Linked DNA regions of Canis lupus familiaris. Each later gene encodes a partner of the first gene's protein in a complex. Links are inferred from orthologs where the notes say so. Each region holds a gene or a part of one and is shown on either strand. Other genes may lie near its edges.

The links. Proteins that work in one complex are often made in the same cells at the same time.
Region 2: AHI1 (region 1) and B9D1 share a complex: the UniProt entries of both Homo sapiens proteins name them as parts of the tectonic-like complex. The link is inferred for Canis lupus familiaris from reciprocal best matches to the Homo sapiens genes AHI1 and B9D1.

The regions. Positions count from the first base shown.
Region 1 is NC_049222.1:28,421,078-28,427,060, forward strand, and holds part of AHI1 (jouberin), read right to left. Parts: intron 5,406-5,983; exon of another isoform or gene 5,403-5,405; 5' UTR 5,345-5,402; coding exon 5,335-5,344; intron 3,664-5,334; coding exon 3,539-3,663; intron 1-3,538. UniProt on the Homo sapiens protein: Involved in vesicle trafficking and required for ciliogenesis, formation of primary non-motile cilium, and recruitment of RAB8A to the basal body of primary cilium.
Region 2 is NC_049226.1:41,071,042-41,077,024, reverse strand, and holds part of B9D1 (B9 domain-containing protein 1), read right to left. Parts: intron 4,091-5,983; coding exon 3,979-4,090; intron 1-3,978. UniProt on the Homo sapiens protein: Component of the tectonic-like complex, a complex localized at the transition zone of primary cilia and acting as a barrier that prevents diffusion of transmembrane proteins between the cilia and plasma membranes.

The DNA.
Region 1 (5,983 bases):
GAAGGGTAGAGGGAGAAGCAGACTCCTTGCTGAGTAGGGAGCCCCATGCAGAGCTCAGAGCTCAATCCTGGGACCCCAGAATCATGACCTGAGCTGAAAGCAGACACTTAACTGACTGAGGCACTCAGGTGCCCCAAAATATTTTTTTTAATTACTTTTTTTTTTTTTAAGAGAGAGAGAGAATGTGTGTGCGTGTGGGGGTTGGGGGGTGATGGCAGGCAGAAGGGGAGAGAGAATCTTAACCAGGCTCCATACCCAACAGAGAGCCTGACTCAGAGTTTGACCTGGGGCTCATCTCATGATCCTGAGATCATGACCTGAGCCAAAGCCAAAAGTTGGGACACTCAACTGAGTGAACCACCCAGGGAACACTAAGAGTTTATTCTTAAATTTCTTCTTTCGTTATTTTTGTTTCTTTAAAAAAAATCTGTTATTTTTTCTTGACCTCTGATGACTTTGATAATATAATATCTATTATATTATGATATCTATTATTATAATAGTATAATAACATAATAATAATATAATAATCTATTTTACATATTATTTGTTTCACTTATTTTAAACTCCAAGATGAAGTAACTTCTGACTACACTTTAGGTAAAAGTACTAGTTATAGGACTTTCTCTGCAAGCTAGGAAACCTTTGCTCAACGTTTGAGAACAATGTTTCTGTTATTTCACATTATCATATGTACATTATCTAATATAAATCTTCAGTAATTATTTTTGGCAAAAATAATAAAGAAAGTTCTATATGTTTAACTGGTCTCAAAAGACTCTGCAAATGTATTTTCAGATCATAATTTCTCTATTCTTAAATTCTTAATTTTGATTCCTCTTTCTGGAAATGATACTACATATTCAAATAATACACCTTCAATCGTATTCTTAACTCCTGTAGTAATTCTCTGTTAATTTCCATGTTCACTACTGACCTCACAAACAAATGACACTTAGGTGGCCAGATTTCTTGTGACACAATTTTTTCCCTCAATATTATGTAGATATTGCTTTATCTAGATTTAGGGTTTCCTAAGAGAAGCCAGAAATGTACCAGGTGTTTCTTTTTCTGTTGAGATACTTGCAAAATTAATTTTTCTCTTGAAATTAAAAAATTCTAAATATAGTTTTCATCTCATAAATTTTACCTAAAATGCAAGATAGACTCATCTCTTCCTACATCCTAATCATGCTCCTTCTACTGTTTCTGCTCCATTAACACCATATGGAAATGTAGGTCAAGTATTTCTTTCTATATGTCCTCATTACTTATTTCAGTTTAATTTTTAGCCATTTTTTCTCATGAAGAATGCCTCAAATTTATCTTCCTTACCACTAATTAGATTTTTCCATGGAACCAATTCTACTATTTTAGGCCTAAGATATAGTTTTTAAAAAGCAACTAAAGGCAGAATATGGAGAGACTGTGGTTTTAAATCCCACTCTATTTCTGGTTATATGGCTCTGGCAAACCTACATCTTTGTTAAGTGGTTTTTCTGTTCTGATGGTTATAAAACCTCTCATGCAAAATAAGAGCCCCAAAACCTACATTTCATGATTAACATGAGAATCAGAAATAGCACTTGGGAAACTCTTATCAGAGTGCCTAACAGATTGCTGAAAAACAATAAGGTGGATCTGCCATTATTATGAGTTCTGTTATTACAGCCTTTTCCTTGCTTCCTTTTCTTATTTCAGCCTGGTTCTCTTCCAGTCTCAGCCTGTCTGTACGTGTTTTTGTTCTGAAAAGGTCCCATCTCTCCATACGTTATTCAAAGAGGTCCTACTGGGTTGTGGTTAAGAGAGTGAGTTCTGTAGTCAAACTGTTAAGAGTTTGAATTCTAGTTCTGCCACTAACTATGCAAATTTAGGCAAGTTATTCAACCTCTTTGTGATCCAGTTTCCTCAACTATAAATGGAGATAAAACCTCATCATTTTGTTGTTTGTATTAAAAATTAGTGTATATACAATGTTTAGAAATTCTTGAAAGATAGAAAGCACTGTTATCTAGTAAATAAAAACAGGTATTCCTCCTCAAATTTTTAAAGTAAATCATTTAAAAAATATTTTGTGTTTCTCCAAGTCCTCCAGGAACATTCCCTTCTTTTCAGCTGAAAAATCTCTTCCTCAATAATTTTTCCTAGGATACTTATCCCTGAATTAAAAAAAAAAAAAAAAGTTTGCATGGCCTGCTATGTACCTAAAAAGTCTGGGTAGATTATGTCGAGTCACCTCACACTTGTGTACTCTGAACATCTAAAATGGACAATAGGTAAATGGCTGGCTCTCCTGCCCAGTTTTTGGTTATCCATTTAATTGAGCATTCCTGGCCTAAACTCACAAAGCCCAGTGCTAACAGTAAGAGAAAATATGAGGTTCTACTTTGAGTCCATAAAAATATCCTCAACTGTTTCCAGGGTTCTTTCTGATTTTGTCTAATGTATACCACCTTACCAAAAGGGAGGGCAGAAACTAATATGCAATGTTTCATCCACCATCTGCCACCATACTCACACTGATACCACCAAAAGAAGCACATTCTATAAAAGGGCAGCATCTACTATGGGAAACCTAATCTGCTCCATTCCGTCTGTAGTTCTAAATTGGTATGCCATAGTAAACAGCTGTACTGTGACCTTCTCACGTGTGTGCAGCTGGATTCTGGCCAATGTTAGTACTTATTTTTGCCTCGCTTAGAATATGTACTATCATGTTGATGGCTGCCAGGAAGAATATTAGAAGAGGTCACATGGCAAAATTCAGAACAGTGTAAAATTTGTTACAAGTAAAATATAAGTTATAAATAAGTCATAAAACTCTTGCCAAAGAAATACCATGCACTAATTACCAGAGCATGCATGAAATTATTTGTGCCTGTTGTGTGTGTGTGTGTATAACAGATTATGGTCAAAGGAGTACAAGTTTCAAGTAATACAGTGAAACAGGTGTGAAAAGTACATTGTGGATACCATTACATACTTTCTATAATACTCTGGAATCAGGATGTAGTCAATTGCTGATTTGTTTAGTACTGCTCTGAGTTCTGCATTTTTAAATCTTCAAGTGTGCTGCCAAAAAGTCTATCATTTGAAAGTGTGTCTCAAGTATAAAAGGATAATTATTGCCTTAAGATTTCACTGATTTCTCCTGGTTCTGCTGAGTAGACTCAGATGAGTAAGTCTAAATAAAGATAAGCCACTGAATATCTTAAGATATTATTCCCTAAATTCATCACAATTCTGGGTTGAAAATCTTAATTTTCTTTAAAAATGAGTAACATGTTGGCCTAGTTGAGTTTGCCCATTCTCTCACCACTCTCATCAGTTTGTATATGTTATTCCTGTAGGATCACCACTGAAAACTGAACTCAGTGCCCTAAGAGTCATGTGGATTCTAACATAAGCTTTATTTTACCATGTGTTATCGACCATGAGATAGATTTATCAATTTCCAAAGTTCCTCAGAGGTTTAATATAAAAGTCATAATTTCATGCAGATATGTAAGTCATCATTATCAAATGATCAACTACTCACTGCAATTTTTTCTCCAGATTTGCCGATTTTTTTCTTCAGTTTTTTTCTTTCCTGAATGAGATCATGGTGGGTCTTAAGCAATTCTTCAAAGCGAACTCTGGTTTTTACTTTGGCTTCACTCTCCACTGCAAAGATAAAGACTCATCATTTGCTAAACAACTCTATTATAGTATATACCTGCATAATTATCATGTTAAAGAACACAGTCTTATACATACCTGCATGAGTTCTTTAGCTACCTTAGAACTGACCAATCCTTCCATCTTTTTAAATTTTTTTTTTAAAGATTTTATTTATTTATTCATGAGAGACACTGGGGGGGGGGGGGGGGGGCGGCGGGCAAAGGGAGAAGCAGGCTCCCTGCAAGGAGCCCAGTGTGGGACTCCATCCAGGATCCCAGCCAGGATCTTGCCCTGAGCCAAAGGCAGACACTCAACCGCTGAGCCACCCAGGAATCCCCTCGGGCTTTCCTTCTTAAAAAATGTTTCTTTTGGTTTTGGTGACACCACACTCACCTGTATCCCTCTTACTGGGCCATTCTCTCTAAAAGTTTCTATTACTAACTTTCTACTTGTGATGTATGGAGGCATCTACTACTGTTATGTGGCCTTACCCAATTTACTTAACTCTAAACTTCATCTTCGTTATCTGTAAAATCAGAATAATCCTATGTTAAAGATCATTTGTGTGAAGAATAGCTAACATTACCTAGTCAATAATCAGTATTTAAAAAATAAGAAAAGCTGAAAAGTTATTTTTTCTTTTAAAACTTAAGTCAGATCATGTTATTTCCTTGCTCAAGACCTTGTGAGTTTCTCATTTCACTTAGAACTAAATGAGTCCTTCATATGCCTTACAGGGTTCTCACTTCCTGGCCTGCCTACCTCCACAGCTTGAAATCAAGAGAAACAGCCCCTTAGATCCCTATATTCGGGCCATACTGCCCTTCTCACTCCTTCACCAGAATAAGCACCCTCCCATGTGAAACTGCTTCTACTTGATGCAAACTTCCTTTAAACTTCTCAGCTACCTGGTGTTAAGCTGCCTGTTCAAATATTGCCTCTAAAGTGGAACATTTCCTCACAACCTCATCTAAATCTCCCCATGCCTCAGACAGCAGTTTTTTCTTTACAGCACCTAATCCAACTTGAAACTGTAGAATTATTTGTGTATCTATACAAATATATTGTCTCTGTCTCTCCCACTGTACTAGCTATCATCCCTACTACTATCATGAGATCTAGCACAGAGTACCTACTCAATAAATGGTGAATGAATGGGTGATTGCCCCAGAGCTGGTGTTGGCAAATACGGCCTGCAGGGCAGTCACCTTCTTTTATAATGAAAGTTTACTGAAATACAGCCATATCCACCCTTAAGAATTCTTATCGATGTTTCCATGCTTCAATGGCAGAGATGAGCAGTTACGGCAGAGAATAAAACTAAAATATTTACTAGATTTCCTTTTAGGAAAGTTTGCCGATACCTGCTCTAGAGTAAAACATCCATTTTGATGATAAAGAATACAAACTAGCCATATGTTGTAATGATTATTTCCCTTATCCAGTGGAGTCCTAAACTGCTATCCATTAAATACCTACTAACCTTAATACTAATATCTAACATTTAATAGAAAATTGATAAAAAAAATAAATAGAAAACTGACAATATCTGAATGTAATATTTGGTTAATATATTCATGAAGAGGTCAAAGAACTTTGAAATAATTCAAAGTTTAAAATAAATAAATAAACAAATAAAATGTATTGCATATATAAATTTCATAAAAGTCTTACCAGTGGGCATATCTCAGCTTTATGGAGAGCATTGAATTGTAATGTAAAGCACTGCCTCAATCAGGATCCTACTAATACAAAGAGAATTTATTTGTAGCATGGAATTTACAAATAAAAATTATATAACATTCTTCACACAAGATTATGTGATGATTCATCTACTACATAAGTTTATACCAATAAAGTTCTCTTAACCCAGTCTTATGCAAATGAATTAAATGTATTTGAATCAGTTTAGAACTGAAAAAAGGTAAAGAAACCTGGATCATATTTGAATAAGATATTTACATATTTGAAACAAAAACTTTTTAAAAACCTTGAAAGGCAATAAATATGTACTTGGTATGTTAATGCCGTTTTACAAGTGTTTTAAGTAAAGATTATACATTACAATGTACTTTTAAGAAAACAAACTCCACCCCAAAATTGACTTTTCCAAGAACATATGCTATTATATTAATAAAATATGCTTGTAGGTAGCATACTCACAGATAATAAATTTAAACATTTTTGTACCTGCCATTAAAAGTTTTGCAACAACAGAAAAGGTTAAAAGTACAAGCATTTGTACCATCTTCCTCAAATAAATATCTGGGTGTGTATTATTATATACCAAACCCAGGGATAAATTCAGGATATATACTCTTTA
Region 2 (5,983 bases), on another chromosome or scaffold:
CGAGGGCACTCTGCTCCTCTATTCAAGGCACAGGGACCCAGCTGGGAAGTGAGCAAAGGGCCACCTCTTGGGAGCCTCCTTTCTGATGGGGTGGGGAGGGGGTCAGTTTCCAGCGCCTACTGCATGGGCTTGTGGGCCAGAGCGGCTGACTTCGGGGTTCTGTGGGAGAGGTCAGAGGGGAAAACAGACCTCCCATGCACTTTCCCTTAAGTTATCACACCAATCACACGCGTTCCCTGTAAACACTGAGGTACATCAGGTCCTTTCCTCTGGGTCAGTCCTCTGAGCATAGGGGAGAAACCACTTCCCAGGTGACAGGTGAGGCGGGGGAGGCCCAGGAAGCCATCCTGCCAGGCTGACCCTGCGGTCTAGGACATGCCTCAGGCAATCCCCTCCCCTCCTAGCCTCCTGGTTCCCTCCCCCCTAAGACTTGGAGATTAGCGACTGCTGCAGAGGGGGTGCTCAGCAAGTGTCAGGGACAACAGGTGTGTGTCCTTCCCATCACTCCCCCTCCCCCAGAGGCAGCCACTGTTTTGACTTGATGAAAGCACTGCTTTTAACGCTTCCCTGCCAAAGAATGCATCCCAAACACAGATTTGGTTTTATCCTTTTTAAAGGAAAGATTTTATGTATTTAATTTTGAGAGTGAGAAAGAGCAAGTGAGCTAGCAGGGGGAAGGGCAGAGGGAGAGAATCCCAAGCAGACCCCACACTGATTGTGGAGCCCAATGCGGGGCTTGGTCTCAGGACCCTGAGATCATGACAGCAGACACTTAAGCTAATGAGCCACCTAGGTGCTCTGGTTTTACCTATTGAAAAAAAAAAAAAAACTTTATACAGATGGAATCATACAGTCTGTGTACTGGTATCCAGCTTCTTTAGTTCAATGTTTGGGAGATTCATTCGAATTGTGTTGTGTATGAGATGTCACTTTTTTTTCAGTGCTAGAGAACATGCTAGCTATGGACAGACCACGAGGACATGGTTCACTCCTGTGCCGATGGACATGTGGGTAGTTTCTCCTTGGGGGGCCCCCGGATGGTGAGACTATGAGCTCTCTGCCACTCTGCTGAAGCTCTTGCCCCATGTGTGCACGTTTCTGCTGGGCATGCCTATCCACACAGGGTATGCATACATTCGGTCTGAAAACAGAACATGGAGCTGTCTCCCAAAGGGCTCAGGGGGCGCCTGGGTGGGCTCAGTCAGTTAAGTGTCTGCCTTTGGCTCAGGTCATGATCTCAGGGTCCTGGGATTGAGCCCCATATCTGGCTCTGCACTTAGCACTGACTCTGCTTGTCCCTCTCCCTCTGCTCTTCTGCTCTCTCAACAAAAAAAAAAAAAAAAAGTCATCCCTTACTTGATATCATGGCTCTAGTGTTCTATGCTCTCTTCCTAAAGTTTTCCTGCCATCCACCTGGAACTGACTTTGGTGGATGTATGGTACAAAGCAGGGCACAGGGTTTCACGTCCTGTGCATATCCCGTGGTCCCAGCACCGTTTATCAACAGGATCCGCTTTCCCTTCATGCCTCCCAGTGCCCTTTCTCAGGAATCACCTGTCTACACAGGCTTAGGTCTGGCTCAGAGCTCTCTTTGGATCATTTGCCTATCCTTGGGCCTAAACTACATTGTCTTCGTTATTCTGCTTTATAACTCATCTGAAGTTCAATATGTAGTACATGTTACATTTTGATATTATTGTGAAGAATTTCTTTTTAAAATATCACTTTTAGGGGCACCTGGGGGCAGTCCCTGCTCAGCAGGGAGCCTGCTTCTCCCTCTGCCCCTCACCCTACTCGTGCTCTCTCTCAAATAAATGAAATCTTAAAAATAAAATACCATTTTGAATCACTTTTTATGGACAAGAGAATACATATCCTATTCATTTTTATACAAAAAGCCACTGGTTTTTTACTATTTCATATCGGGCATTCATGCCAATTTATTATTTCTAGTAACTTATCTGTAGGTTATTCTGCAAATTCGACACACATAATGCCACCTATGAAAAGCAACAGTTTTATTCTTCCTAATTCCTATGCTTTTGTTTGTGGTGGTGGCAACAAGGAAATCTTTCACCATTTCACTTAGAAAAGGTGATGTTTGCTCTAAGTTTTTTGTAGACAGTCTTTATCCAATTAAGAAAGTCTCTTTCTACGAGTGCTTGGGTGGCTCAGTTGGTTGGGGTCCAACTCTTAATCTCAGCTTAGGTCTTGATCTTGGGGTCATGAGATAAGGCCCTGAGTTAAAAAATAAAAAAGTTTCCTCTATTCCTAGTTTTCTAAGTGTTTATCATGGATAGATGTTGAGTTTTATCATGGTTGCTTCATTATGGGGATGATTATGACTTGCCTTCTTTTAAAGCACTGAATCACGTTGGTTGATTTCAGATATTATATAAGCTTTGTACCTCTGGAATAAACCATTCTTGTTCCATCCCTTTTACACCCTGCTAGATGTGGCTTATGATTATTTAGTTTGGGGGGTTTTGCAACCATGTTCCAAGGTCTGGAATGATCCAGAGCTGGGCTGCTCCCACTTCTCCCTTCCTCCCAGGGTGCAGCAAGCACTTCGAGGTCTTGAACCATTTTCCTGATTCTTGTGCCTCGAGCCCAGAGCAGCTGTCAAAAGCCTCGATCAACCTCTGGATCACCTCTGGTGGAGTCAGCTAATTCTCCAAGGGGCAATGTGAGTGAGATCACATCTCTAGATTTCTGTTTTCTCCTAGATCTTGGCTGGGTAAATCTCCAATACTTTGCTGGCTCTCTGATGCCTTCAAATAGTTGTGTTTGTTTTCACTTTTTATTTTTGAATATTTTATTTATTTATTTGAGAAAGAGTGAGAGCCAGAGAGATCACAGAGGGTGGGGAGGAGGAAGCAACAGACTCACCGCTGAGCAGAGAGCCCAATGTGGGGCTCAATCCCAGAATCCTGAGATCGTGACCTGAGCTGGAGGCAAATGCTTAACTGACTGAGCCATCCAGGTGCCTGTGTTTTTACTTTTTAATACTATATTCGCCTCTCCTAGGCTTCCTCAGCAGCAGGAGACTGGGCCATAATCTAGTCCTGCTCCAGGAAACCTACGGAAGCATTCTGACTTGTGGATAATGACAAGATGGCAGTCTCAGCCCAGGAGGACCTCCAGGCAGCCCGTTCCAGACCCCCCACGCCCAGTAAGCCTAGGCCCCAAACTACATGCCGCAGAAAGGTCCAGACTATGAAATCAGATGGACCTGAAATCCAATCCATGCTCAGCTACTAGATAGATGGCCAAAGGCAAGTGATGTCACTTTTTTTGCATCAGTTTCCTGATGTGGAAAAAGAAACCAAGAGCAATCTATCCACCACATAGGATTAGGAAGCTAGGATAAGAGCACATGGGGTGAGTATTCACAGCCCCTCTGGAGCTAACCCAGGCCTTTACATGCAGTAGGCGCTTATTAAGTAAGAGTGAATAACTACCAGGCAAGACACACAGTAAACACTGCAAGCAAGGAGGGTTCTGGGGAGGAGGTCAGAGATGGCAGAGGGAACAGCACAAACCAAAGCTCAGAGAGGCGGCTCAGGGGTGTGCACAGGAGGTGCACGTGGCTTTGGTTTGGCTGGAGCACAACACGTAATGGCAGGTTGAGGGCCACCAGGGTCAGGCCTGCCGGCTGGACTACAACATCCCAAACCCAGGCTCTGCCTTCCCCCAGCACAGAGGCTGGAGCCTCACCTGACACCCCCTGAGCTTCCTAAAGGTCAGCTCCACCACCAGTCCATGAGCTGGGGTGGGGGGGGGACACATGGAAGGAAATGGCCAGGTGGCAAGAGAGCACATGATGATGCTGGTACACAAGGGCCCAGGAATTGGGCAGAGAAGAGCTGAGAGCGGACAGTGGCGGCAGGATAAGGCCCAGCTGGCCCTGGGGGCACCTCCCCGACCCGGTCCCTGCTGGGGTGGTGGGGGAGGTGGGGGCAGGCCCTGCAGACTCACAGCCATAAGGGTTGGTGCTTTTAAAGGTGACATCGATGGGGAAGTTCCACACCAGCGCTCGCCGCACATCTTGGCTCTTGGATGTGATCTGTGAGATGCCCTCCTCCAGACCCTGTGAGGACAGTGACTGTGACATCTGCTGCTGACGCTCCAGCTGCCACACCCCTGCCCTTACCTTGGTGGCCAGGTGGGAGGGCTGGTTTTCTCCCTGTCTTCTGGCAACACACTGTCTTCCGCATGACGGGGACTCAGAGCTAATGGAGCAGCTCCTAGGTGTCTCCAGCTTTTATTTGGAGCCAGACAACCTGGAGAGCTGCCTGGGCGCGAGTTCACTGGGCGTCCCCTCAGCTGAGGAACTGGCCCTGGCAGGTTGTTCCCTCTTCCAGCCCCAGCCCTTCACATCGGAGCCTGTGTGCCTATGATTCTATCAAGAAACTGTGCCAACTTGGCTTCTTCCTCCACCCGCCAACCCAGTTGGAGCTCCCCTGCTGAGCAAACTCCTTGATCAAGCCGTCCATACTCACTGGCTCCAGCAGCACCAGTGACCCCAACGTTGCTCTCTCTGTGGACAGTTCTCTGTCCTCAGTTTACCTGACTCTACAGCAGCACTGGACACAGCTGGTGGCTTTCTGACGCACTCCCCCTGGGTGGATTCTGGGACACCATATGTCTGACTTTGGGTCTTTCCTCCTCACAGCGGTGAGGGTGGGGGCTCTCAATGTTGCTGTCACCACTTCCTCCTTCATGTGGAAGCGTCGTGGGGCTGATTCCCAAACCTGCATCCCCAGTCTGGTCCCCATCTCGGGCCTCCAGGGCAGCATGGCCCCACCTCCACTGCTGACCCTGCACCTCCCCCCGGGTATCTGGGGGGAAACCTCAACCTCAACACATGCCAGGCTGAGCTCTGGAAAGTTCTCCCATAACTGCTCTACCCAGTCTTCTCACCGAATGGCAGCTCCGATCCCAAGTGCCCAGGCTAAAAAGCTTGGTGTTATTCTGAACTCTTTTCTCTCACACCCCACATCTGTCCAGGAGGGAACCCTGTTGTTTCCATCTTCAAAATATACTGGAAATTCAACTGCCTGTCACCCCCACCCCACCCATGGCTGCGCCTTGTCTGCACACTGTCTTCACTCCTCTGTTTCTGGTATCAATCCTTGGTCTCTCTGCTTTGGCCCTTGCTTCCCATCTACTCTGAACACAGAAGCCAGGATGCTATGGAACACACAAGGGGGGTCACTTTGTCTCTGTCCCAGACTCTCTGAGGGGGTCCCATGTCTGAGTGAGGCCGTGGTTCTTTTACTGACTCACTGTGTCCTACAAGGCCTGTCCCATCCTCAACCCCCCTGCTCCATCTCCAGCCACTCTCATCCCTGCTCATGCTCTTCACTGGCTACACAGGCCTCCTCCCTGTGCCTTGGGCATGCTGGGCACGCCAGGCACGTTCCCACCTCAGGGCCTGTGCACCTCTGCCCTTTCTTGTTGTTGTTGTTGTTGTTGTTTTTTACCTCTGCCCTTTCTGCCTGCACAGTTCTCCCTACGGACCTCCGTGTGGCTTGTTCCCTTCCTGCCTTCACCCTTTACCCAAAGTTACCATCTCAGGGAGGCCTTCCCTGGCCACCTTACCTAGACTCCAGCTTCTCTCTACCCTCCATTCCTCCCTTCCTGACTTTACTCTGTCCCCGGCACTTTTTCCTAGAACATATTAGAACATCAGTACTTATTGTCTACCTCGCCCCACGAAACTGGGACTCTGGCCTGGCTGTCTGTGGAGACAGATTGCTCTGAGGCCGGTCTTGCAAGCAGAGCTTCTATTCGGCCTCTTGACTTCCCAGAGTCCTCCTCATGGGCTAGGAGAGGGACAGAGGACCTACCGCCCAGATACTTCCAGGCTGGCCCTCAGGGGTCTGTGCCGCCCACACGTTCCTCTTTGCTGCCAAGTGCAAGTTCCCAGGACAGGGTGTGTGAGCGACCGCAGCTTTGATCAGGAGCCTGAAGGTGGCTG